Linked DNA regions of Ovis aries. The protein of the gene in region 5 interacts with the protein of the main gene of each other region in a pairwise test. Links are inferred from orthologs where the notes say so. Each region holds a gene or a part of one and is shown on either strand. Other genes may lie near its edges. The genes, in order: CDKN1A, SPG21, BYSL, TBC1D22B, TRIM54, LENG1 and RABGEF1.

The links.
Region 1: the proteins of TRIM54 (region 5) and CDKN1A interact in binary tests that used the Homo sapiens proteins (3 or more experiments, as listed by UniProt). The two-hybrid records come from large-scale screens. The link is inferred for Ovis aries from reciprocal best matches to the Homo sapiens genes TRIM54 and CDKN1A.
Region 2: the proteins of TRIM54 (region 5) and SPG21 interact in binary tests that used the Homo sapiens proteins (3 or more experiments, as listed by UniProt). The two-hybrid records come from large-scale screens. The link is inferred for Ovis aries from reciprocal best matches to the Homo sapiens genes TRIM54 and SPG21.
Region 3: the proteins of TRIM54 (region 5) and BYSL interact in binary tests that used the Homo sapiens proteins (3 or more experiments, as listed by UniProt). The two-hybrid records come from large-scale screens. The link is inferred for Ovis aries from reciprocal best matches to the Homo sapiens genes TRIM54 and BYSL.
Region 4: the proteins of TRIM54 (region 5) and TBC1D22B interact in binary tests that used the Homo sapiens proteins (3 or more experiments, as listed by UniProt). The link is inferred for Ovis aries from reciprocal best matches to the Homo sapiens genes TRIM54 and TBC1D22B.
Region 6: the proteins of TRIM54 (region 5) and LENG1 interact in binary tests that used the Homo sapiens proteins (3 or more experiments, as listed by UniProt). The two-hybrid records come from large-scale screens. The link is inferred for Ovis aries from reciprocal best matches to the Homo sapiens genes TRIM54 and LENG1.
Region 7: the proteins of TRIM54 (region 5) and RABGEF1 interact in binary tests that used the Homo sapiens proteins (3 or more experiments, as listed by UniProt). The two-hybrid records come from large-scale screens. The link is inferred for Ovis aries from reciprocal best matches to the Homo sapiens genes TRIM54 and RABGEF1.

The regions. Positions count from the first base shown.
Region 1 is NC_056073.1:10,679,776-10,683,496, forward strand, and holds CDKN1A (cyclin-dependent kinase inhibitor 1), read left to right. Parts: upstream 1-1,300; coding exon 1,301-1,736; coding exon of another isoform or gene 1,737-1,933; exon of another isoform or gene 1,934-3,171; coding exon 3,172-3,221; downstream 3,222-3,721. UniProt on the Homo sapiens protein: Plays an important role in controlling cell cycle progression and DNA damage-induced G2 arrest. Involved in p53/TP53 mediated inhibition of cellular proliferation in response to DNA damage.
Region 2 is NC_056060.1:11,887,484-11,890,983, forward strand, and holds part of SPG21 (maspardin), read right to left. Parts: intron 2,933-3,500; coding exon 2,852-2,932; intron 1,917-2,851; coding exon 1,771-1,916; intron 1-1,770. UniProt on the Homo sapiens protein: May play a role as a negative regulatory factor in CD4-dependent T-cell activation.
Region 3 is NC_056073.1:15,721,280-15,725,285, reverse strand, and holds the start of BYSL (bystin), read right to left. Parts: upstream 2,801-4,006; 5' UTR 2,642-2,800; intron 2,459-2,641; 5' UTR 2,455-2,458; coding exon 2,187-2,454; intron 1-2,186. Other genes in the region: MED20 (mediator of RNA polymerase II transcription subunit 20), read left to right, coding at 2,997-3,010. UniProt on the Homo sapiens protein: Required for processing of 20S pre-rRNA precursor and biogenesis of 40S ribosomal subunits. May be required for trophinin-dependent regulation of cell adhesion during implantation of human embryos.
Region 4 is NC_056073.1:11,238,766-11,242,265, reverse strand, and holds part of TBC1D22B (TBC1 domain family member 22B), read right to left. Parts: intron 3,185-3,500; coding exon 3,005-3,184; intron 2,932-3,004; exon of another isoform or gene 2,447-2,931; coding exon 2,376-2,446; exon of another isoform or gene 1,013-2,375; coding exon 884-1,012; exon of another isoform or gene 1-883. UniProt on the Homo sapiens protein: May act as a GTPase-activating protein for Rab family protein(s).
Region 5 is NC_056056.1:34,378,236-34,380,721, forward strand, and holds part of TRIM54 (tripartite motif-containing protein 54), read left to right. Parts: intron 1-265; coding exon 266-437; intron 438-2,235; coding exon 2,236-2,331; intron 2,332-2,486. UniProt on the Homo sapiens protein: May bind and stabilize microtubules during myotubes formation.
Region 6 is NC_056067.1:63,980,935-63,984,887, reverse strand, and holds the start of LENG1 (leukocyte receptor cluster member 1), read right to left. Parts: upstream 2,801-3,953; 5' UTR 2,775-2,800; coding exon 2,643-2,774; intron 1,285-2,642; coding exon 1,105-1,284; intron 488-1,104; coding exon 225-487; intron 1-224. Other genes in the region: TMC4 (transmembrane channel-like protein 4), read right to left, coding at 3,393-3,461, 3,558-3,636, 3,875-3,953.
Region 7 is NC_056077.1:28,736,183-28,739,682, reverse strand, and holds part of RABGEF1 (rab5 GDP/GTP exchange factor), read right to left. Parts: intron 2,112-3,500; coding exon 1,855-2,111; intron 1-1,854. UniProt on the Homo sapiens protein: Rab effector protein acting as linker between gamma-adaptin, RAB4A or RAB5A. Involved in endocytic membrane fusion and membrane trafficking of recycling endosomes. Stimulates nucleotide exchange on RAB5A. Can act as a ubiquitin ligase.

The DNA.
Region 1 (3,721 bases), on a different chromosome or scaffold from region 5:
TTGGGAAAGGCCCTCAGCCCACAACACCTGTCAGCTGCTGTCTGAAGGAGGCGGTGGCCCAGGTGGAGTGATGGGGAGGAGTCAGCCAGAACTAAAGGCAGAGAGAAATAATATTCTCCAAACACTTTCTCTGTACTTGGTACGGCTCAGAGGGCGTTATCTACAACCGCTTAGCGAATTCTCACATCTGGCCTCTGAGACAGTCGCTGTTGTTATCTCCTTCTAGAAATGACACCAGAAATAGATGTCCCTTTCATCATAGGCGACTGGAATGTAAAAGTAGGAACTCAGGAGGTACCTGGAGTTACAGGCAAGTTTAGCCTTGGAGTACAAAGTGAAGCAGGGCAAATGGAGTTTTGCCAAGGGAACGCACTAGTTACAGCAAACACCCTCGTCCAACATACACAAGAGACAACTCTACACATGGAAATCTCCATCTTATACAGGAGGAAAACAGAACCCAGAGAAGTTAAGCCACTTGTCGAAGGTTGCCCAGCAGAGCCTGGATTCCAACCCAAGTGGCCTGGTTCCAAAGCCCTCACCTTGAACCACCAAGATACAGCCGTTGAACTCTGCTCCATCTGCCTTGCCTGGCGGGGCCCGCCAATCATTTCCTTGAGCCTGCGTCTACAGCCCCACTCTTTAGACATGTATGCAGTCCCATTTTACAGATGAGGAAACTGAGGCCGGGGGACTTGAAGTGACTCTTTGAAAGTTGAGGTAGGAAGTGGCAGAGCGAGGACTAGAACCCAGGTGCTTTTAACCCCAAAATCCAGAGTAGTTTTAAGTCACTGAGCAGGATTACTCCACATGAGCATCTAGATGGAGGGATTTGAGAGGAGGCATCCATTTTCTTGGGAATTGACCTCCCCGGCCAGGCCTGGAGTTAGGAAACTGCTGGACTCTGACAATTCACACATACCTGGGGGCATTCACACCCATGAGGGACACCTCAGTGGGAAAAACAAATTGATTTTAGCTGATAACACCCAGTGGTAAACAGGACCCTGATCCCTGCTATTGCAATAAACTTGCCTTTGTTGACATAAACTTGCCCTTCAGCTGCCCACTCCCCCAGTGACCTGGGGGTGTCAGGCTGACTGACTCTGCCCCTCACACCCTTTCTGTGGGTGGAGGTTGGGAGAGCCTGTGGGAGGAACCCGAGAGCCCCTCTCACCTCACTTTCTAGTAAGGAGACTGCGCCTGAGGTTACGCAGTGGCATGGCCCAGAGAGGGAGCGTCCGACTTCCTGAGTGTCTCACGTGCCCCGGGTCTTCCTTGTGTTCCAGCCACAGGTGCCATGTCTGAGCCGTCCAGGGACGCGCATCAGATCCCCCGCAGCAGCAAGGCCTGCCGCTGCCTCTTTGGTCCAGTGGACAGCGAGCAGCTGCGCCAGGACTGCGACGCCCTCATGGCCAGCTGCGTGCAGGAGGCCCGAGAGCGATGGAACTTCGACTTTGTCACCGAGACGCCCCTGGAGGGGGACTTTGCCTGGGAGCGTGTGAGGGGCCTCGGCCTGCCCAAGCTCTACCTGCCCGTGGGGCCCCGAGACGATGTGGGAGGGGGCAAGCGGCCGAGCCCCTCATCCGCCCTGCTGCAGGGCACGTCTCAGGAGGACCACTTGGACCTGTCGCTGTCCTGCACCCTCGTGACTCGCTCCCCTGAGCGGCCCGAGGGGACCCCTGGTGGGCCTGGTCCCTCCCAGGGCCGGAAACGGCGCCAGACCAGCATGACAGGTGAGGACGGGAGCAGAGGTGGCGGCAAGGGATTAGGACTCCCAGAACTCACTGTGCCAGGGCTGACCTGTCTGGCCCAGCTTACTCATCGCTCTGAGGGGTGGGAAACAGGCCCAGAGAGGGGAAGTGGCTTGCCTGAGGTCACACAGCAAGTCTACTACCAAGACCAATTAGCTGACATTTATTTGGAACATTGACTATGTGCCAGGACCTTTGATAAGTGTCTAGATTTCTTTTAGTCCTTATAGTGATCTAATATCATAGGACATTCTTGGCATCCTTTTACAGGCAAAGGAACAGGACTCTGAGAGGTAGAATGGTTTGCCTTAGGTCCCACACTGAATTTACCATGGAGAGTAAATGAATGATAATTTCCTGGCTGCCTTATCCAAACCTAACTCGCCTTCCCCTTCATACATACACACCTTCACCTGCACTTCCTAGCCTATTTTTCTCTTTTTGGCACTTTTTAAACTATCAACAGCTACTTCCATATTTTGATATAGTCCATCTTCCCAAATAGAATCCTATCATCTCCACAAGAAAGAAATCTGTATCTCTCTTGTTCATAATTGAGTCCTCAGCACCTTGGATGGTGTGTGACACATAGTAGGTGCTTGAGGGAAATGGAATAAGTGAGGCTGGCAGTTGAACACTATGCCAGGCCTTCAGCCAACGTCTTTTTATTTTTTACTTTACAAATGTATTACTGTTATTATTTTGGCTGTACGGCTTGTGGGATCTTAATTCCCTGAGCAAGGACAGAACCCAGGCCACCTCTGTTGAGCGCAAGGAGTCTTAGCCACTGGACCACCAGGGAAGTCCCCACCAAGGTCTTTCCGGAAACATTTCATTTAATCCTCTGAGCATCGTACCAGCGTTATCCTCATTTTATAGGTGAGGAAATGGAAGCTTGGAGCAGTGCAGCCAAGAATCCCACAGCACATTTGCAGCTGGGTCAAAACTAACAATAATGATAATAATAATAACTAACCTTTATATGGCTCAGACATCATGCAGAACGCTCTCTGATATATCAGGCTCTGCAAAGAAGCAGATGCCCAGTACCGCTGGCCACATATCACTGCTGAGTGTTTGCCATGAGGAACTAAATTTTTCTATTAGTCTAATGCTAGTTAATTTAAACAGCCGCCTAGGGTTAGCGACCACTGCATTTGGGCAGCTTGGCTTAAAGCAGGCCCATGCATGTAAAGTCTGTTATTGATCACGTCTGTGAAGCGTGGGGGGATGTCCTGTATGTATGTAGCCCTCCGGGAGAGAGGCTAGAAGTTTCCAGAGTTCTTCCCTATACTTGGCAATGTGTCTCTCGGGCCCTGGGGAGGGGTCCCTGGCCCCTCTGCAGGTTGCACTGCGCAGGTGGCTCTGCTGGGCCCTCTTCCTCCTGACCTGGCTGACATCTGTTCTCTCCCCCCAGATTTCTACCACTCCAAACGCAGGCTGATCTGCTCCAAGAGGAAGCCCTAACCCCGCTGCTGGAAGCACGTCCTCGTGGAAACAGGGGCCCACTGCAGGCCTCTTCTGTACCTTTTGCCTTGGTCCTTCAGTTTGTGCGTCTTAATTATTATTTGTGTTTTAATTTAAACGCCTCCTCTTGTACATACCCTGCTTGCTGCCACCCTTCCCACACCCCCAGCCTCTGGAATTATTTAAAAAAGAAAAAAATTAGCAGAAAAAATAGGCTTATTAGATTGCTAGGTATTTTTATTATATGAACCGTTATTTAAACCCTCCTCATTCTTTGCTCGGAGAAGGCAATGGCACCCCACTCCAGCACTCTTGCCTGGAAAATCCCATGGGCGGAGCAGCCTGGTAGGCTGCAGTCCATGGGGTCGCTAAGAGCTGGACACGACTGAGCAACTTCACTTTCACTTTTCACTTTCATGCATTGGAGAAGGAAATGGCAACCCACTCCAGTGTTCTTGCCTGGAAAATCCCATGGGCGGAGCAGCCTGGTAGGCTGCAGT
Region 2 (3,500 bases), on a different chromosome or scaffold from region 5:
TCTCTGTATTAACTAGGCATTTGGGATTTAGAGATTTAAAAAACCCAGTCTCTTCCTTCAAAGAGCTAGTTTTGAAGCATCTAGTTTTTATAAATGCTTTCTCAAGTTCCCAAAGAGTTATGGTTTCATATGATCAAACTTTTGAGGATTGGGAATAATTATAAGCAATATTTCAAAATGCCTTTATTGCAATAAACATTCTGATAATTCCAAGATTTTATTTTCTAGTTGGTCTTATTTTCAATGGCTAAGCTACTTGTGGAAAACTGAACACTTACTATATTAATCTGAAGGTTTATATCACCCTTTGATTAACATTAAAGGATAGATTTCAAAATAGTAAAATCACAGAGTTATTATACCTACTATTGCTACTAGTGGATTCTTGGGCTAATTCAAGGCAATTCAGTCTTCATGTATTTCTATATGTGATCTTTAGTTAAGAGTGTACTCCATTAATTACATTGGGAGCCCTTATATAGGATAAACATGAATTTTTTTAAACCTATGCTGAAAATAACTTATAAAAGGTACAGACCACCTTCTGATGTACATTCTCAGTAAACGCCCCTCATAAGGACCAGTTAGCCATCTTTCAGTCACCTTCAATGATCTAAGTTCTCAACTCCAACCCATCCCAACAGCTTCTTAACTTCTAAAGGGGATGCTGCCTGGGTGTTTTCTGTGGGTGAGTGGGAGGGGTGGTCATCCTCTTGGCTCTGTTCACCCCTGAAGCCTCTGTGTGGCACATAGTAAGTACTCAGACATTTGATAAAAAAATTCCTGATACGCAAGAGCACCAAGTGGGGGAAATCTTGGCTTCTGACAATCAAAACAACATGAAAAACTCGTCAAAAAGAACGATTTTTGCATCATATTGACATGAAGTATCTGTCTAATGCATACAAGAAACTGCTGCACAAATGCTGAGTAAACAAGCGAGAAAACATCAGGAAACATTTTTTTAAAAATCAGAATGCAATAGTAAATAGTTGTGAAAACCATGAAAACAATGTTTACCTAGAACATTTTGTGAAAACCAATCTGATCACTCAGGTAAGTTAAGTCAATAGGCTACTTTTGGGGGGTAGAGCCTAGCCTTGCTAGCAATGAAAGAAATATAGTGAAGTCAGCTTTAAGGTACCATTAGACATCTATAAAACTAATTCAAATGATAAAATCAATGAAGGGATGGCTCAGAGAAAGCAGGTACCCCACTGGTTGCCTTGCAAAACATTCTGCCCTCTCCATCTTTCTAAAAAGCAGACTAATGTTGTACAAGTGCCAGCGAACTAAACAGTCTCTCCATTTCGGGGAACCTATCTCAAGGAAATGACCCAGAAAGAGAAGAACAAAAGTAATTTACACACAAAGATTTACAGTTGAACCTGATGAAAAATTGAGAGAAGCCCAAGGTCTTAAAAAAAATGTAACAGTCATTACACAGAACTCTGTACACAAAATACTAAGTGGAGCAAGCAGAACACAGTATCAGTGAGATAAGCTCTGAAGGGAAACTGTAAAGGCATTGGAACCATAATACACAAAGCCAGGCGATGATTTAGAGTAACGGGAACCACTGAAGTTAGAATTCTTTCAATTCTTTTCCTTTGCAAGGGTGACCATTTCTAATGCTAAAAGCCAGGATGGTTTCAGAAGACAAAAGTATATATGGCCCCTCCCTCCCTAATGCTTCAAAAAAACCAAACATCACCATTTTCAATTCCACTGAAAATAACAAAACTGTTGGTCGAAGGTTTACATTCTTACCTGTTTGCGGTCCATGTTTGGTTAAAGATAGAGGTGTCACTGAAGGAATTGCAGAGGATGAGGGAGTGGACTCTGGGAGATTTGTGAGTGTATTCAGCAAACTTTTGGGCCAAAAAGCCTCCCAAAGAAGCCCCAAAGAGATGAACCTAATCGGAAACAAACACAAGGATCCTAAAAACAATGACTGATCTTTAAGTATCAAAAAACTGTTTTAATTATCACCAACCACAGAATATAATGTTATCACCAGTCATTAGACTGAAATATTTACAGCAGTTAGAAGTTTAGGAAATACTGTGTTTAAATGCAATGTCTATACCCTGTCAAGAAACAATACAATGGTGCATAAGTTATAGTAGTTAAAAAAAATATTATTTCCAGATTACATTAGAAAATGAAACTACTTTGCAGTTTCTGTTTAAGAAAACAGAAATTTTAATTCGGTAATTCAGTATTTCCACTCCTAGACATGTATTCAAGAGAACTGAAAACATCTGTCTTCACAGAAATTTGTGTAAGAATGTTCATAGCAACATCCCTCATAAAAACTAACCAGTGGAAAACAAATCAAGTGATGAATGGGTAAATAAAATGTGTTTTATCCATACAATGGGATTTTATTTAACAATTAAAAGGAATGAATTATTGATAGAATTTGCAACATCGATGAACCTTGAAAATCTCGTGAGAAGTGAAAAAAGCCAGTCACAAAAGACCACAAATTACATCTTTATATTTATATAAAATATCCATAACAGGCAAATCCACAGACAGGGCTCCAGGGAGGAAGCAGGGTAGTGTCTGCTAAGTATGGGGTTTCTTTTTGGGGTGGAAAAAATATTCAAAAATTGACTGCTGTGATGATTGCACATATCTCTGAATATATTAAATAACAGTGAATTATACACTTTAAAAAGGTAAACTGTATGGTATGTGAATTCTAGCTCAAAAGAGCTGTTATTAAAAAATAAAAGACAACACCAGACAATGATGTAATCATTGCATTAAAATCACATGTGAAAAAAATAAATAAAATAAATAAATAAAATCACATGTGAGTAACTAGTTTTAAGGTACTCACTTTATCCAACTGTAAATGGTCTAAAAGTTTTCTGAATCCATCACAGAATTCAAGGTGGTCCCAATAAACTGGATACTGCAACTAGAATATAACAAGTTTTAAATTTATTTTAAAAACTGTAAAAGTAAAATACAATTCATACGTATCTGAAAACTTTAGGGCTCTCACAACAGTGTTTCTCATTTGCTCAATCTCTGCTCCTTTTTCAAAACATGGGAAAATAAGCTCTCATCTTATCCTAGACTTCAAAATTCCAATTTTATCTAACAGAACAATTAAAAAATAAAAATAAAAATCACACTCTAGTGATACTACATATACAACAATTTCAATTCACATCAATTTCCTTTCCAAATAGCAAGAATTACAATGCAAGACATTAGAAATGCATTTGAAATTAAGAGACCAGCACTTAGAACAATAGTGTGTGTGTGTGTGTGTGTGTGTGTGTGTGTGTGTGTGTATGTATGTACAGAGAGAGACAGAGAGAAAGAGAGAGAGCGAGAGAGAGCACGCTATATCAAAACCTCATGGTAACTGCAAACCAAAAATCTACAATAGATACACATAGAAAAGAAAAATTGATCCAAACAAAACACTAAAGATAGTCATCAAATCGCAAGTGAAAGTATGTTAGCCACTTGGTCAT
Region 3 (4,006 bases), on a different chromosome or scaffold from region 5:
TCAGCTCTTCGCATCAGGTGGCCAAAGTACTGGAGCTTCAGCTTCAGCACCAGTCCTTCCAGTGAATATTCAGGACTGATCTCTTTTAGAACTAGCTGGTTTGACCCGGATGGAGAGAAGAGGGCAAAGGGAAAGGAGCAGGAGAGGTCAGACTGACAACAGGTACAGATCATATAGGTCTCTGTAGATCAGGCAATCCTGAGTTGCTGAGTGGAGAGTAGACTGTGGCAGATACGGGATTCTCGGTAAGAGGCTACTGCAGTCACCCAGGTGAGAGATCACTGTGGTTTGAACAGGATGGTGTTCCAAGATGGTGCCAACTGATCTGATTCTGGATATATTTTTAAGGCAGAGTCAACAGGACTTCCTAATTGATTGGATATGGAGCGAGAAAGAGACAAGTCTAGAGTTTTCTGCCTGGAGCAAATGGAAGGACATCATGTCATTAATTGAGATGAAGCAGACTGGGAGTGGAGCAGGTTTGGCAAGATGGTCAGGATTTCTGTTCTGGACATGCTAAATCTGAGATGTTTCTTAGACTTCAAATTGGAGAAGCTAAAGAGAGAGCTGAAATATAAGACTTTGGGTTTCATGGAAGAGATCGAGGCTGGAATATGAACTTGGAAGCAGTTACCAAACAGACAGTATTTAAACCTCAACCCTGATGACAGCACCAGGGAAGTCATCAGAGGTGAAGAGACTAGCTCCAAGGATGTAATGCTGTGGCACTACAGGAAGAGGCTGGCAACAAACGAGAAGTCAGCAAAGGGAGCTCCCTGGTGGCCTAGTGTAAGGATTCTGGGCTTTCACTGCTGGGGCTCAGGGTTCAACCCCTGGTAGGGGAACTGAGATCCCACCAGCAGGCGTCGGAAGCGGGAGAATAGGAGCCAGCAAAGGATACTGAGAGGTGTGTGCGTGTACTCAGTCGTGTCTGACTCTTTGTGACCCTGTGGACTTTTCCTGACTATAGCCTGTCAGGCTCCCCTGTCCATGGGATTCTCCAGGTAAGAATACTGGAGTGGGTTGCCATTTCCTTCTCCAGGGGATCTTCCTGGCTCAGGGATTGAACCAACATCTCTTGCATTGGCAGGTGGGTTCCACCACCTGGGAAGCCCACTGAGGTGAAAAACTAGCAAAACAGGGATGTGATGTCTTAGAAGCGGAGTAAAGATACTGTAGCAAGGAGGCTAGTGTTTGTGAACGCTGCTGCTGCTAAGTCGCTTCAGTCGTGTCTGACTCTGTGCGACCCCACAGACGGCAGCCCACCAGGCTCCCCCACCCCTGGGATTCTCCAGGCAAAAACACTGGACTGGGTTGCCATTTGCTTGTCCAATGCATGAAAGTGAAAAGTGAAAGTGAAGTCGCTCAGCCGTGTCCGACTCTTAGAGACCCCATGGACTGCAGCCCACCAGGCTCCTCCGTCCATGGGATTTTCCAGGCAAGAGTACTGGAGTGGGCTGTCATTGCCTTCTCCGTTTGTGAATGCTGCTCACAGACAAATGAAAGATGAGTGTTGAGAAATGGATTAAGCAACTTGGAGGTCAACACTCTCAGAGTAATAACGAGAAAAATGACCATCTTTTAAATAATCTCGCTCCCTTTCTAGTCCTGAAACAATATTGTTCTTTGTGCTCAGAGCACTCCCTACTTTTCAGTTCTCAGCACAACGGTCATGCAACCTGGGAAACCTGACTCCCAAGACTAATGCTATTGTCAGAGAAGCTATACTTTATCACGAGTGCATTATTCTAATTGCTTACTTAATTCTTTCTCTCGGGCTACACTGGAAGATCCTGACGTTAGGTATACCTTTACCCTGTTTACAGTTTTTTATCTAAACCATCTAAACTCCTAGCACGGCGGGATGTGCGTAGTAGACATTCCATGATTACTTACAAAACACGTAAATAAATGCCAGGAGAACTTAGCGGCGTGAGTAACCACTTCCTGCTGGCCTAACCTCGGTGATGCCTATAAGAGTGCCACTCTAAGGAATGGGCGTGGAGGGCTCCGGCAACCCTCAATCTGCCCCAGAGCTGGGTCTCCCAACCCCATTACCTTTGCCAAGGGCCTCAGTTTTTTGTTGTTGTTGTTTTTTAATTCCAAGTTATTCCCCTGCCAGACACCTTTCAGCCGTCCGCCCCAGCTACCCACCCTCCTCCTCGTACCCCATCCCCCCCACTCACCCAGCCGCGTGGTGCGCTCCCGCGGCACCGCGGGCCTGTCCCCGCTCCCATGCTCGGCCTCGAGCTCCTCTTGCTGCTGCCGCGCTTGCTGCAAAATCCGTCGGGTCAGCCGGGGCCCCACGTACTCTTCCTCCTCGTCTCCGGTTCCGCGACCCCGCCGTTTTTCTCGGGCTCCTGCCCGCACCGCGTCACCAGCCAGGATCTGCTCGGCCAGCGGCGCATGCTTCTCCTGACCCCCGGCCGAGCGGGCCGCCTTGAACTTGGGCATTTTTCTAGAAAACCAAGCCGTGAAGTTTCCCACGTGGGTATGGAGGAAAAAAAGGCCCCGAGTGCGCTTGCGCGGTAAACACCCAGCGCCCGAGAGCCCACCGGAGCTCACAGCGCCCCCTCGCGTCTGGAGGCCGGGTGTGCCAGAAGCCCCGTCCCACCCCCCCCCCCCCCCAAAAAGAGCTCACGGGTCCTGGAGCTGGGTCCTCCCGAATTTAACGTTGTCTTCTCTAAGTGGTTGTAGTCCGAGATACACTTTCCTAGTTTCATGGATCTGGGTCCAGGGTGCCCAGGCGAATGGGAATTCCCTGACCGGCGAACCAGGGGATCGGGGGCGGGGCGGAGTCGGGCAGTGACCTCACCGAAGGACCCAGACACGCCCTTCCTCGTGGGCGTGTCGACTGGACGCTGTGTTTTTACGTAAGTTCCGGAGCGCCTGCCTCCATTGGAGCTCGCTTTAGCGAGGTGGTTTCTCCTCTTGTGGGCTGCTGGAGCACAGCGCATTTCACTTGTTTGATCCTCCCATCTTCCTGGCACGACACCATGGGAGTGACTTGGTAGGACTTCAGAGGACTTTGTGGGGCGGGGTTTGGGGACTTGAAGGCCCCTGGAGCCTCGAATATACCCGGGAGGAGGATCCCGACCAGGGTCCACAGTCCCCCGGAAGATGAGCAAAATGTCCTCGGATTGTGTAAGTGAGGGGGCCACCGCGAGGGCTGCAGAATCTGCAGGCCCCTTTCCTCGGAGATTCGCCCCTTCTTCCTGGAAGGCGGCAGGAAAAAGGGTTTAAGAACCCGTTAATGATCGTGTACCTCCTTCCTTTTTTCTTGATACAATTTCTTGACCGTGAAGCCTGGGGTAGAACTTTAGGGTTGAAAGTAGTATGTCGGGACTCGGACCCGTCTGCAGGCAGGGCTTGGATGGGTAGGGGATAGGCAACAAGGAGATAGTATCTTTTTTAGGTTTTTGCCTGCCCCTCCTTACAGCCACTAAATGCAGTTAGATCAGCATGTGTCTGGTTCTAGTTTGGCCTTTGTAAGATCTTGAGTCTGGAGGGAAAAAAGGAGCTGTTGGGAATTAGGAGATAGGAATTACAGGCACATCACCTCTTCAGGGTCTGTTTCCTATTCTGTTTAATTACCTGGTTGGTTTAGTTTTTATGGACTTATTTTAACACGTTATAAGTCAGTGTGGCAGGGAAAGGTATGGGCTTAATTCTCTTCGAGTCATTTAGTTCCAAAATGCTAGATTTCAGAGCTTTAAAATATATATATCTTGAGCATCTCTCCCAGAGAGGGCTTAGAGGCCAGGTTATCTGAAGGCAATGGCTCTAGGCTTCTCATGTAAGAGCCTGTGGGAATTCCTGGTAGCCCAGGTCTTGCAGATTTGTCAGTGACTGCACATTTGCTTCCTGAAGCTGGCATCATGAGCCTCCTTCAAAGTCCTGTAGTGTAAGAAGGGTGCGAAGAATGGGAATGAAAAGTTTGCTAGGGTCTTTCATGACAGTCCAGTGGTTAACATTCCACGCTTCCACTGCAGGAGGCACCTTCTAC
Region 4 (3,500 bases), on a different chromosome or scaffold from region 5:
TACAGTCCATGGGGTCGCAAAGAGTCGGGGACACGACTGAGGGACTCAACGACAGCAACAGCCCTAAGGACTGTCTCAGCAGCACCTGAAGCTACTTCTGCTCCTGGGGCCTGTTGCAGACAGCTGCGCGCTCCCAGTATCTTCCCCTCTGCAACCATCAGGCTCCTTTTCACACCCTCCACCTTTCCACCGCGGTGTGGACCACTGTGGGCGATGGCAGGGCTCTCCCGGCTAAGGCTGCTGATGGCTATCGCCCCAACAGACAGACACACAAGCCAAAGAGGCACTGCAGCTGTCAGAAGGACACACTGCTGTCACAGGCCAGAGGGGTGGGCTCACTGAGCGGACCCACTCTTCATCTTGTGTCCCACCACCCTATTCACAAGGGTCGTCGGTGGACCAGCAGCGCTGGCATCGCCTGGGAGCTCACCGGAAGCCAAGGGCTCACCGCAGATCTCCTGAATAAGAATCTGCATTTTACCATAATCCCGAGTTGGAATTTTATCAAAATCCTGGGAGATTTCTATACATGTTAAAGTCCAAATGCACTGCTCCTGACCAGGGACCCCCCAAAATCTATCTATTGAAAATGTCTAGGGACTTCCGTGGCGATCCAACGGTCAAGACCCCATGCTTCCGCTGCGTGGGTTTGATCCCTGGTTGGGGGACTAAGATCTCACACGCCGTGTAGCACAGTCAAAAAGAAAAGAAGGCTAAAATCAGAGCTACTGAATTAGAAAGAAAGGAGGTAGTTCTGGGAATAAATTTAATTCCTAACCACAACAGCCTGAAGACTTGGCAAACCTGTACCCCAAGAGCACTTCCAGGAGCCGCAGCTGAAGATTACGACTAGTGGGCAAAAGGGCAGCAGGTGATGGCGTACCTGCCTGTAGGTATCCTGGTGATGTTCCTCATTTCGAGAGTCGTAATACTGTTCAATGAAGCCAAAGTACTCCTCCCGCTTCCGCTGCAAGGTCAGCTTCCTCCTCTCAGTGTTTGCCGGGAGATAACCCTGTAGACAGGACCGCTTGTCAGATGGGGACAGGCACTGGCTGGATGAATTCTTAACTTTTATTTTAGCCTCAACAGTGGCTTTGAAACTTTCAAAGGAAGGGAAAGAAAGCTGCCAAGAAGACAAGGGTAAATCCCTTTTTGGTTTTGGCCACCCAGGGTTTGCCCTGTCCTCATTCAATGAGACGCACGTGTGGGCAGATGAAGCCCAGCCGGGTTTCTCGGGGTTATGTACTCCTGCAGCCCTGGGCGCAGATCCTGCTGGGGAGCAGTGCAGAGCTCCAGGCTTGGCACAGTAGAGCAGCAAATGTAGGTCAGCGGGAGGGAACTGGACCCAAGTCAGGACTCCTGGGGCTGCGTGTGTGCAAGGCAATCCTTCCCAGGGTCACGGAGAGGTGGCCGCCTCCACGGCGCATCTTAGTGGCATGCCGTGTGAGCCTGCGCTAGTTACATAATTCTTTCCCGCAGTAATGTTGAGAATTACCAGCTTAGGAGGCTGAATGGAATCTGTGACCCAGCAGCTGCAACGTCCAGACATAGACCTTCTGGCAGCAGCACCTCGCTCCTGGCCCCAGCTCCGGGCCACCCCTGGTCTAGATCCCACTCTCAATTCTGACATCTCTTGTTCCCCTTCCATTCTCACTGCAGCTACTTCTAATAGCATCTGGACTTCTTAGAAGGAGCAGGGGCAGTGACTCCACGGCTATGAGAGTCGGGGGTGGGGGCCGATTAGAAGCAATTGTCATCCTCTCGCAGGAAGGGAAGGGACACGTCCACAGAGCGAGCAAGCGCCTGGCGAGCCGAAATTGTGCTGGGCCCACCTCTGTGCATCCTTACAGCACCTGGCATCGTGCCCGGTAAACAGCTTGCCCTCAATAAATCCTTATGAATGAATGGATTTTACGGGCTCAGGAGATCAAAGTGTTCCTACCACAGCGGCTGGCACAGGGCTCTGTGACTTAGTGAGCGTGGGACGAGAGCAGGCTTCTGAGGGAGGCCCGTTTATCAACTCTTCACAGTTGGGAAGTGGGTTTCAACCCCCTTAGTCATTCCTACTGAGAAAGGAGGGAAGCACAAGGAAAGTGGGACCTGCCCACAGGAGAGCTGGCTCACCCAGCCTCACTGTACTCCTTCTGGGTGCTGAGAAGGCAAGATCGGGACTATCCACACAAACCTACGCTCTTCTACAAGAGTAGGGACAAACTCTCGAGGGTGTGATTCTTTATGCAGAGACAGGATTTCAGTCCCATATCGGGTCCGACCAGAGAAGTCTACAGGGCAAGACTGACGTCCCCAGACCAGCCACCGCAGGCAGGCAGGGCCGTGTGAGGCTTGCACTTCTCTACCCAGGGGGCAGAACTCACCGACAGGAGTCTCCAGGTTACAGGCCGAACCTCCCTGGGAACCCCCGGCCAGCTACACTTCCTCAGTTCATCTGCAAAAAGATGAAGGTGTGGTTGGACTTAGTCCTTCCCGTGGGTGCCCTGAAACGAGCCTCAGCCAGTGCTGCCTGGTGCCCCCCAGCGTTTCAGGAGGATGACCGCCATCGCCACTGCCACCACCACCGCCAGCTACCGACAAGCATGGGTGAAAAGCCCAAAACAACAGCCCTGAGCAGCCAAGGTCATAGCTCTGCAGCAGTGATCCAGTCAGCTCAGAGGTTAGAGTTAGAGGGAGGAGGAAGACCAGGAGGTGTGGATTTCAGGAGGAATCGCATGGAGGTAGAGGAGACCGAAGCCAATGGTGCACTAGGCTCTACAGGCCACGGAGTCCAGTCCCGCCTAAGTTGGCCCCTGATTTCTAGTTAACGTATGTCTGACTGTGATACCTGCGTGTCACTTCAGTGGGCACCAGATCAGGAGATGCTGGAAAAGTAAAAGAAGGAAGAATAAAGAGCAGTAGCTTCCGGGTCTCTGAGAATTCCAGTCACCGAGAGGTCTGCTTGCCCAGGGCTCACGGGGGCGGGGCGGGGCGGGGGGGTTGCGGTACTCACCCAGGTCAGTGTTGTGGCTGGAGAGAAGCTGACGGAACTTTTCCAGGCGGGTTTTCTCCCGGACGGTCATCGGGGGCGCCCCAGAAGCGTTCTGGTCTGAGATGCGGGCAACGAGCGGGATGACGGGTCGGAGAGGGAGTGACTGCTGTTTGTGGAGCGGGTTCCTCAGGCATGAGTCACCTGAGGGGTCGTTTGAAAGAGAAAGAGGACAGGCTGTGTGACGAGCACAGATCCAGAGACACTTAGACCTGACTGCTGGGCATGGGGCTCCTCCACAGCCGCGGCTGCCAGGTTGCCCAGGGCGAGGCCGCCAGCCAGTGGGTGGAAACCCAGCCGCCCTCTGTTCACTCAGGGGAAGGGCTGCGTGTTTATCATACATACCAAGGCACCTTCTGCGCAGAGACTCCAGCTACTGCAGCAAATCTGACAAATTTTTGTGACTTCAGAGGGAAAATCTATTGCTTTCTTTTTATCCCAACCTGGAACTTTTCTTGGG
Region 5 (2,486 bases):
CCCTCTATGACCTCCCTCCCTGTGGCACTTCCTGCCCCCTGGAATAGAAACTACTCTTGGATCTGGGCCTCCTGTACCCTGTATGTAGCTCTGTTCCTCAAGTGAAGAGGAAGTCATCTGCCTGCCCAGCCACAGCAGCAGCTGTCGGGGCACAAGGTGGCAGTGGCTGGTGGAGGCTGAAGAAAAAGCGCTCAGGGGGCCTCACACACTTGCCCCACCTGCCTGGCCCCTGACCCCTGCTCCTACACTGCCTGCCTCCCCGCAGGCCACTGCATTCCAAGGCTGAGCAGCACCTCATGTGTGAGGAGCATGAAGACGAGAAGATCAACATTTACTGTCTGAGCTGTGAAGTGCCCACCTGCTCTCTCTGCAAGGTCTTTGGTGCCCACAAGGACTGTGAGGTGGCCCCACTGCCCACCATTTACAAACGCCAGAAGGTATCAAGCAGCAGAGGGAGCAAGCATGGGGGGGTGGGGGTGGGGACACAGGATGGGATCTCAAACTGCAGCCTCTTACTCCACTTGACTTCAAAGGCATGCAGATCAGGGCTGAAGTCCCAGCTCACTGTGTGACCTTGGGTAAGTCACTTGACCTCTCTGGCCCTAAAATTCTTCCTCACTTGTAAAATGGGCATGAAAATGCTTACACTTGAGAGTTGTAAGGATCATACGAGAAATGGATGCAGTATGGTGAACTCTCAAGGCCATCACACTGTCATACAAGTAGATTCTACATAAAACATTATTTACAAATTAAGGGACTCCTCTGGAGGTCTGGTGGTTAAGCTTCCAACGCAGGGGGCACTGGTTCAATCCCTGGTTGGGGAAACAAGATTCCACATGCCATGCAGTATGGCCAAAAAAATTAATTAATCAGTTAATTTTAAAAAAATAATTGAAAAAATAAAATAAAAATTAAATTGATAGACAGGTAGAAAGTAAAGGAAAGCTCCAAGTGTGGGTGAGGTAGGGAGAGAAGGAGGGGGAGAGAGATGTGAACAGAACCCTGAATATGATAGGCATGGGAAAGGCAGGATTTCCCACAGGGCAAATTATTACTGAACTAGACAGATGAGACTATGCCTACAAACTCCTGAAACTTGGGGGACCTACAACAAAGACCCCCAAGGATCACAGGATACACTGGAATCCCAGGAATCCCTAAAGTGGGCAGTTGTGCCACCTGGCTTTTGACAAAAGCAAATGCAAATTCTGCCTGGTGGAAAAACCCTCAATTTAGGCCTTGGGTTTTTCTTAGATTAAGATCAACATAAGATGAGCTCCCGATTGAAGATACACAAAGAAATGTACTCATGAGTGAAGTCAGCAGAAACAAAACTTTCAGATTTAGGCCCTCAAGAAATTAAGATACTGGAATTATTAAAGAATGTAAAGTCAGCTTTGTATAAAATGCTTTAAAAAATGGAATTTGAAAATAAGCAATAATAGACTATCAAAAGTGCAGATTTGATGAAGAACCAAACAGAGCTTTTAGAAATGAAAATATAATTGTAGAAAACAAAACATTCAAGGGATGAATTAAATGACAACTTTCTCTCAGTAAGAGAGGACTGGGGAATTCCCTGGCTGTCCAGTGGTTAGCACTCTGTGCTTTCACTCTCGAGGGCCTGAGTTGGGGAACTAAGATGCCACAAGCCACACAGCATGGCCAGAAAAAAAAAATTTTTTTTTTCACATAAAAGAATTTTAAAAGGGAAAGAGAGGACTGAAAAAATAGCTTAGAATATAGCACTGGGAGATGAGAAGGTTGGGAATGAGAAGGTCTAACATATTAGATATATGATTAGATATATCTGATACTCTAGATATATTAGGTACTCTGATTAGATATCAGAGTCTCAGAATGAGAGAATAAAGAGAATGCAGAAGAGGCAATATTATCTTAAAGGAAAATCCTGAAGACTTTTTCAAAATTGATGGAAGATAAAGCATGCAGCCCAGTGTGTGGTATTTGGTGGATATTTGGTGAATGTCTCTTTCTCACTTGGTGGTGGAGGACTTCCTCTCTCCACTTCCTTCCAGAATTTATAGACTGTGCTTCCAAACTTCTTGAATGGTTCCAAACTCTCTAGATCTCTGTCAGAGTTTCCCTGAGGATGCCCTGATGGTGGAGTGGAGGGGACAGTCCTCTCCTGGGTAGCCCTGGTGAGGGAGGGAGGGGCTTAGCTCCAGACCAGGTCCTCCAGCCCTGAGTGCTGGCCTCTGTGTGTGGCAGAGTGAGCTCAGCGATGGCATCGCGATGCTGGTGGCCGGCAATGACCGTGTGCAAGCAGTGATCACACAGATGGAGGAGGTGTGCCAGACCATCGAGGTGAGCCTGGAAAGGGAGGGAGGGAAAGTTGCTGGGCTACTGGAGGTGAATCACAAGTAGTAGAATGTGCTTACCCAGGCTGCTAGGTTTGAATCCCAGCTCTGTCCTCCTCTGTGACTTTGGTCCAGTGACTTAACTTCTTAGTGTTTGGGTTT
Region 6 (3,953 bases), on a different chromosome or scaffold from region 5:
CTGTCCAGAATCTAATGTATACAACGTGAACAAGAGCAAGCAGATGGCCCACCAGCCACCAGGGCAGTGGCCTTGTAATAAATACCATGTAGTCTCTGCAGACCCCGGAACAAGGCTGAAAACGTTCAACGGTGTTACGAAAATGGGCCTGACCTTGCAGACCCCAGAGCCCCTGCCTCAGCCAGAGCGCCCGTGGTGCCCACTTGGCCAAAGAGGCTCCTTACTCTTTGGGTCGCTGTTTCTCAGGCGCCTTCTTTTCCTTTGTGCTGTGACCACCACTGTCTCCACTGTGCTTTCTCTTCTTCCCCAAGTGCTTCTGCATCTCCCGCAGCGGGTCCAGGCGGCTCTTGATCCTCTCGTCGGGCCCAGGACCAGAGGCGGGGCCGCCCGGCCTAGGGGGCAGCTGGTACCATGGGGGCTGAGTCTGGGCTTCCGCTGCACTCTGTCCCAGGTATGTTAGGATGCCCAGGGCTTTCTCTTGCCTCTCCTGAGGGAGACAAGATGTGAAAGTGAGAACAGGAAGCATGTTCCCTCTCAGGCAGCCAGGGTTCCCGCAGAGGCAGAACCAGACATTCAGCCAGCAGAGCCCGTCAGGAGCCGACTCTGCCAGCTGCTGGGACTTCAGAGATGAGTCCCCGGGGTGCCCCTGCTCTGGGGCACCAGGACAGCTTCAGCAACAAACAGCATAGGAAGGAGGGGACTGCTTATGTTAGGGTTCAAAGGCAGCATCTTTGAGGAGATAGAAAAGAAACTGTGAAGCCAGCCAGGTAAAGCAGTGACTGAGGGGGGAGGGGCGGGGAGGCAGTCTGATAGGAAACCCCGAGGGCAAGTGAGGGACAGCGTCTGATTTACATTTTAAGAAGCTTAACACTTCCCAACATCTTCAAGGTTTGCACATCAGGTTAGAGACCTGAGGGGGTCTACCTAGCACCCGGCAATAATCAACACCTCTTAACATGCTATGTTCTAATACTATTCTGAGTTCTCTAGCTTGTTTAATCCCCACCATCTCCCTAAATATTCCCGTAATCACACCTGAGGGCAAGGTACACCCCCACCCCTGGCTCCACCCGTGACCCGAGGAAGAGGGTAAGGCCACCTTACTTTCTCCTGTCGCTTCTCTTCCTCGTACTCTTTATTGCCTCTCGTCGCCCCCTTGCCTTCTTCCAGCAGCTCCCGAAACAGATCCACAGGGCCAGAACTGCATGGGGCTCCCGTTTCTGCTTCCAGTGCAGGAAGTGAGTTCTGATGCCTGGCTTTCTTCCGTAGGAATTCTGTGCGGGCCTGGAGGGAAAAAAAGTTACAGGCAGAACATTCAGAACCTAGCTGTAGCCCAAGGGACTCTTGAGCCTAGTGCTGACCACTGCAGTGGTAAGGGCTCGAAGGAAGGGAGCAGGGGCACTGGGAACCCAGAAGAGGCACCTGACTATTCCTGGGGAGAGGGTGGAGCAGTGAGGCAAGGCATGGTTTGTAAGCCATCTTCCAAACAGTAAACGAGGGGGTTTCATTTCTGACACAATGAAAACAGCTATAAAGGCAGCCAAAACATCTATTAGGACAGGTGATCTGAATTCCAGGAAGGGCGCTGAGTCATTATGCCCATTTGATTTCCAATTTCTATTGATAACCGTGAACTTAAAAAATATTGCTTTGGCTGCATCAGATCTAGTTTTATAGCATGTGCGATCTAGTTCTCTGATCAAGGACTGAATCTGGGGCCCCTGCATTGGACGCCACTGGGCCACTAGGGAAGTCCGATAAAGGTGAGCTTTAAAAACCCTGACTACCTCCCAGCCAGTGCTGACGATCGGATTAGTCAAAGGACTGGAAGCTAGGTGTAAACCAAACAGGTGAGGAGTTAGAGAGACTCTCTAACGTTTGTGCGCAGCGGTGCAGGCAAAAGGCACGCCTGGCGCAGCGGGACTGGCTTGAGACACTGTCGCTTCGCTGTGGCTCCTCTGAAGCCATCTCACTTCTCCGCCGAAGGGAGATAACCGCCCCGCTAAGAACGAACAGGGCTCGAGAGACTGCAAATCAAGCGCTTTGCACGGGATGAACAGGGGAAAGCGAAACTGAAGTCGCTCAGTCGTTTCCGACTCCTTGAGACCCCATGGTATGTAGCCCACCAGGCTCCTTCATCCAGGGGATTCTCCAGGCAAGAATACTGGAGCGGATCGCCATTTCCTTCTCCAGGGGATCTTCCCGACCCTGGGGTCGAACCCGGGTCTCCCGCACTGTAGGCAGACTCTTTACTGTCTGAGCCGCCAGGGGACAGCAAGAGCTCACTGCACAGGGTGTTTGTACAGCTAAAGTAACAAGCGGCCCGAGCTTCCGTGAACTGCCCAGGGCTCCGATTACTCACGACCCCCTACTCCGGCCCTCCAGGAGGACCAAGGAGAGGTCGAGGGGAACGTCGGCACGGCCCGCAGGCCCAGCCCGCCCGGGAGCCGGGCCCCAGGTCCGCCAGGGTGGCCCGCTCCCCGGCGCCGCCCCGCTCCCCGGCGCCGCCCCGCTCCCCGGCGCCGCCCCGCTCCCCGGCGCCGCCCCGCTCCCCGGCGCCGCCCCGCTCCCCGGCGCCGCCCCGCTCCCCGGCGCCTGCGCGCTGAGCCGCGGCGCCGCGTCCGCCCGGGCCGGGGGCTCACCTCCTGCTGAGCGAGCAGCGCCCTCCGCTCACGCTCTTTCTCCTCCTCACGGGCTCGGGCCTCGTCACGCCGCACGCGGGCGACATTGTCCTTGTTCCGGACGTGCCAGCTCTTCTTGGGTAAAATATTCATGGCGCCTCAGCCGTCCGCGGACCGACAGGCCCACCTCCTGGCACTTCCAATTGGCGAGAGGCAGGCCCCGCCCCGTTGCTCCTTCCTCGGCCACGGATTGGCTCTGCGCTGCCTGACACGACCCCCCAGGGCTGTAGCGAGAGGTGACTGGCTGCGGGGCCCACGTCCCCCGTCTCCGAGAATCGCGCGTGGCGTCGCCTAGCGACCGCCGCTCCCCAAGACTCTGATTCAATCACGTGTCCCCGCCCCGAGGCTCCTGAACGCAGCCGCTGATTGGCTGGCGCGGTCTCTCTCGCGGAAGAGTCCGCCACGCTCTCAGAGCCACACATTTGATTGGTTTATGTCCTGTGAAGGCTTGCCCCAGCTTCTGGACCGGAGATTAAAAAGCACTCAGCGGCCTCCGCTGTGTTTATTGACACAGTACTAGATTCATTGATACAGTACTAGAAAGAGGTTCACTGGAGGGTCGGGGCCTCAGCAGGGAATCCCAGGGCTGGAAAAGCACGGGGTCTTCCCCAGTTCACTCATTTTCCAAATGATGTTGACGAAGCTCAAAAAGGATCTGGGAGCAGGTCTGGGGCTGGAAGTGGGACGTCACCCCAAGCCAGGCTGGAGAGGTCAAAGAGTTCTGTCGGCCGAGCTCAGCGCCACAGCACGCTGTGCCAGGAAGACTTTATTCTGCGCCTCCTGAGGGAAAGGTAGAGGGGAGGTGAGACACATCTCTCCCCTGTGTTCTTTTTCATACTCTCCAGGACCCCTTCCCAGGGGCCAGGCCTGGCTCACCGTCTGTATCTGGCGTTTGAGTTCAGAGATGAGGCGTCCATATGAGTTAGCCAGGGCCACTGTATACGCCATCAGGATGCTAGCGGAGATAAAGTGGAAGCCACTCCGCAAACGTTCTCAGAATATCTTCCACGTAGGGCTTTTTAGAAAGCAGGGGTCTGGACCTCCTCCTTCAGACTCAAGGAGTCGAAGCATCCCAGCCCCCTCCTTCCCGAAGACCCAAGAGTTTGGGCCCCAACCCCCTTCTCTCTCGGAAGCAGGCAGCGGGACCCCAGGTCAGACATTCAGAATCAGACCCAGGAGTCTAGCGCCCTCACCTGGAGATCAGCAGAAGGGGCACAGCAAAAGCCTGGGTACCCAGGAAGAAGAGAAAATTCTGGGCCATCTGAGGCAGTT
Region 7 (3,500 bases), on a different chromosome or scaffold from region 5:
ATCTGAGTGAAATGTCACCTCTGTCAACTGACAGCCCAGAGCTGTGTGACCCTAGAAAAGTTACCTAAGCCCTCTGCGGTTCCCACATTTGTAAAATGAGGGAAATACCACCCAGATTTATTGTGAGAATTAAACAACATAGCACATGTCTCACAGGTCTGTAGTAAGCAATGAATAAATGGTAGCAATTATTAGCACAGAAATGCTGGGGGAAATGCTGAGTGACACAGACATCTTAGTTATACCCTCAACTAATTTTTTCTAGAAGAAGCACATACCATTTTCATACTTTTTTTTTTAATAAAGTATTTTCATGAGGAAAACATGAAAAACATCACAGGAGAAAATAGACAGCTCTCAGGATTTCTTTTCAGAAATTTGTTCACAGGATCTTACCTTGTTATTCATAAAAAAGCGAATCTCCTTAAAGAAGATTTAGCAAATCTATTTCAACAGCCTCATCTGACAAGAACGTGCCTGTCTGACCCTTACCCACCGGCTTACACTATGTGTGTGGAATCAGTGCAGCCTAGTTTCTGGAAAGAAGAGGCCTCTAAGATGGTTCTGACATTCCTGGTCTAGGCGAGCAGACACACAGTACTGCCTCTAATGGAAACAGTACATAATGGAAAAGAAAGAAACATATTATGGTGAAGTGGCTTCAGTTTTGAACAGATTAAGTCTGAAGCATAATAAATTAGCTGGGAAGCTCAGAGTGAGGTCAAAACAGGTGACCTGCAGGTTATCATTACAGGTGACCAGCAGCGCTAGGACCAGAGGAGACGGTCTAGGGAGAGAGATGCACGGAGGACAGAGCCCCCAGGGAGTGACACATTCAAGGGGACAAGGAGGACACCAGGCCCACAAAGAGCCCAGGGAGATGGAGGGGAATCGTGGACGCTGAGGCACACGAGAAGTTCCAGAAGGAAGGCGTCACCAGGAGTGTTAAAGGAGTGAAGTGAAGCAGAGTTCCTAAGGCATGTGGCAACTGGCCAATTTTTTACTTTTGCCACAGCGGTTGCACTGGGGCTGTGACTCTGAGTCTGGCAAGAAGAGAATGAAGAAAAAAGATGTGCACACAGTTAAGGCTGTGGGTCAGGGGGCCAGGAAGAGCTACAGAATGCAGGCGATTCAAGGATCCGTCTTTTTAGACAATTTACCAGAAATGCTTCCTTATGTAACCTGGCCTCCCCTCCCTACTTAACACCCTGAACAGCTTCCAGCACAGGAAACAAAGAACATAAGGTGTCTTGAGGCTGAAATTCATGAATGAGACAATAAATCTAGTCTAACGCAAACAAGGAAAAGTCCAGCGGTCAGTAAAAGGAAGTATGTGGCTTCAGGCCTTAGATGTGTGTACCTCACAACTGTCCCGCCTAGTGTTAATTAGTACTGTAAAAAAACAAGAGCTGAAAATCACTGCACACCCTCTATGCATCAGCATCTCAGTATTCAGTTTTAAGAGGGAATTTGTAGAAATGAAACAAAAAATAAACATTAAGTCTTTTAATAAAGGAATCAGCCCAAGATCTCATTTATTCATGGTTAAAACAACCAAGTAAATGAGCGGCTCTTACAGCCGGGACTCCGGGGAGCGACAGCCAACAGCACCAAAGACCCTCAACGCGGCCATCGTGTGTCCTGTAGGGGAACCACAATGGCTAAGTCCTGGGAGGTGGTATGTGTGCCTGGCCTGGTCACATGTGCTCTGTGATACCAAGCAAACATCCTCAGCTATGCTGACCCCTCAACTCCAGAGCACGAACACGTCACAGGCCTGTGAGAGCCCTGTCACATCCTTAAAATGAATACCTCTGGGTTCCTCTCCACAACACCAGCAAGTCAAGTCCTTACCAGATTGGTGAAATAGTAGCCATCCTCGCCCGTCATCAGTCGGCTTGGGTTGCAGAAGCGGGTGATGTACTGGATGTTGGACTGAAGGCGTGGGGGGTTGCCCTTCAAGACAATGTAGATGAGTGTGGGTAAGAAGTCATCGGCTGAAGCCGGCTCGTTCTTGGTGATCTTGATGGCATTGAAGATGTGCTTGCTGCACTTGGTGATGCAGGCCAACTTATCCCGGGGCACGCGCTTCGAATCCATCTCAATGATATCTACAAAGGAGAAGAGGTGCTGCTTCCAGTGAGGAGACAGTTACATCAAAGAGGCGTCGGGATCATCGTATTTCGTCTCTTAAGTTACAGAGGTGCCCTCGCTAACCCCTTCTCCACTAGTTAACTTAGCGTATGAGAAAGCCTGCAACAACCGCAGACATTAGCTCACACTTGGGCACAGGTGCCCATCAGCCAGGCCCTATACTGCGTGCTCTACAAGCATAATCTCTCCATCCCCAGGGTATGCACGTGCACTATTAAGGGAGCTGAGGTTCAGAGAGGGTCAATGATTTGCCCAAGATTATACAATAAAAAGGCTCAGAGCACGGATCTGAAGCCAAGCCTATCTAAGTCTAAAGCGCATTCTTTAAGTCATGATGTAAAATGCTTATGAGCTCCCCAGAGAAATAAGCAGAGTTTTTGTTCCTTGTAAATACATCGTAAAACTCAGTTCAGAAGGCCTCATTTGCATACAGCTTTTTAGAAGTGCGGCTATTTTACAAGGCATCTCTGAGCTGGTTATCAAAGTGCAAGCGGCTGAAATCCATCACACAGAGGTCCACAGTGGCCAATCCTCGTGGCATATAAATCTCCCACTAGCAACAAGTATCTAATAAGAACTTTATGACACTTATAACCTGCTGGGTAGCAGAGGGGATGAGCATAGGTATTATTTAATCTCATAAACAATACTTTATTTCTCTCAGAAGCAAAATTATTTCACTGCCCTTCACTACCAAGAAGTCCAACTAGCAGGCTCTTATAAGTTCACATTCTCTGTCACAAGGACTAGGAGGCAATGAGGAATGATCAAGTTTGAACTCTGCACTGTCAGAACCACACAAAAGGAGGGCAGGTGGGTGCCTCTGGACAGATACACCTCCCTACAGTCTAGAACACCATGAAAGAAAAGAGCTGAAGTGGTTTGACACCAATTTCTTGCCATTAGCAGAAATAAAAGTTTCAGATTTAGGTGGTTCGGTGGTACATGCCAGAGTTTTTTTTCTGCTCTCAGCTCTCATCCCCGGGGTCAGCTACCTGGCGAAGTTCTCACAGGACTACCAGCCATGGAAGGCTAACGTGTGGGAGACAGGAACACTACACAGTGCTGAGACCTTGTTTTAATTTACTCATACTTCCCCCGCCACTACTTACCTGTCTACTGTATGAATTATATAATTGTTTTATTGTTTAAATTTTTAATTCTGGGTTTTAATTACTGTTACTATGTCTCAGCCTATTTATTTTTCTTTTTCTATTTAAATACAACTTATTAACAAAAAGATTTGGGGGAATGTCCACATATATATATATATATATATATATATATATATATGTAATTTTTTTTAACCATTTTCACCCTATTTAGCATTCTGCCTTTTACTGTTG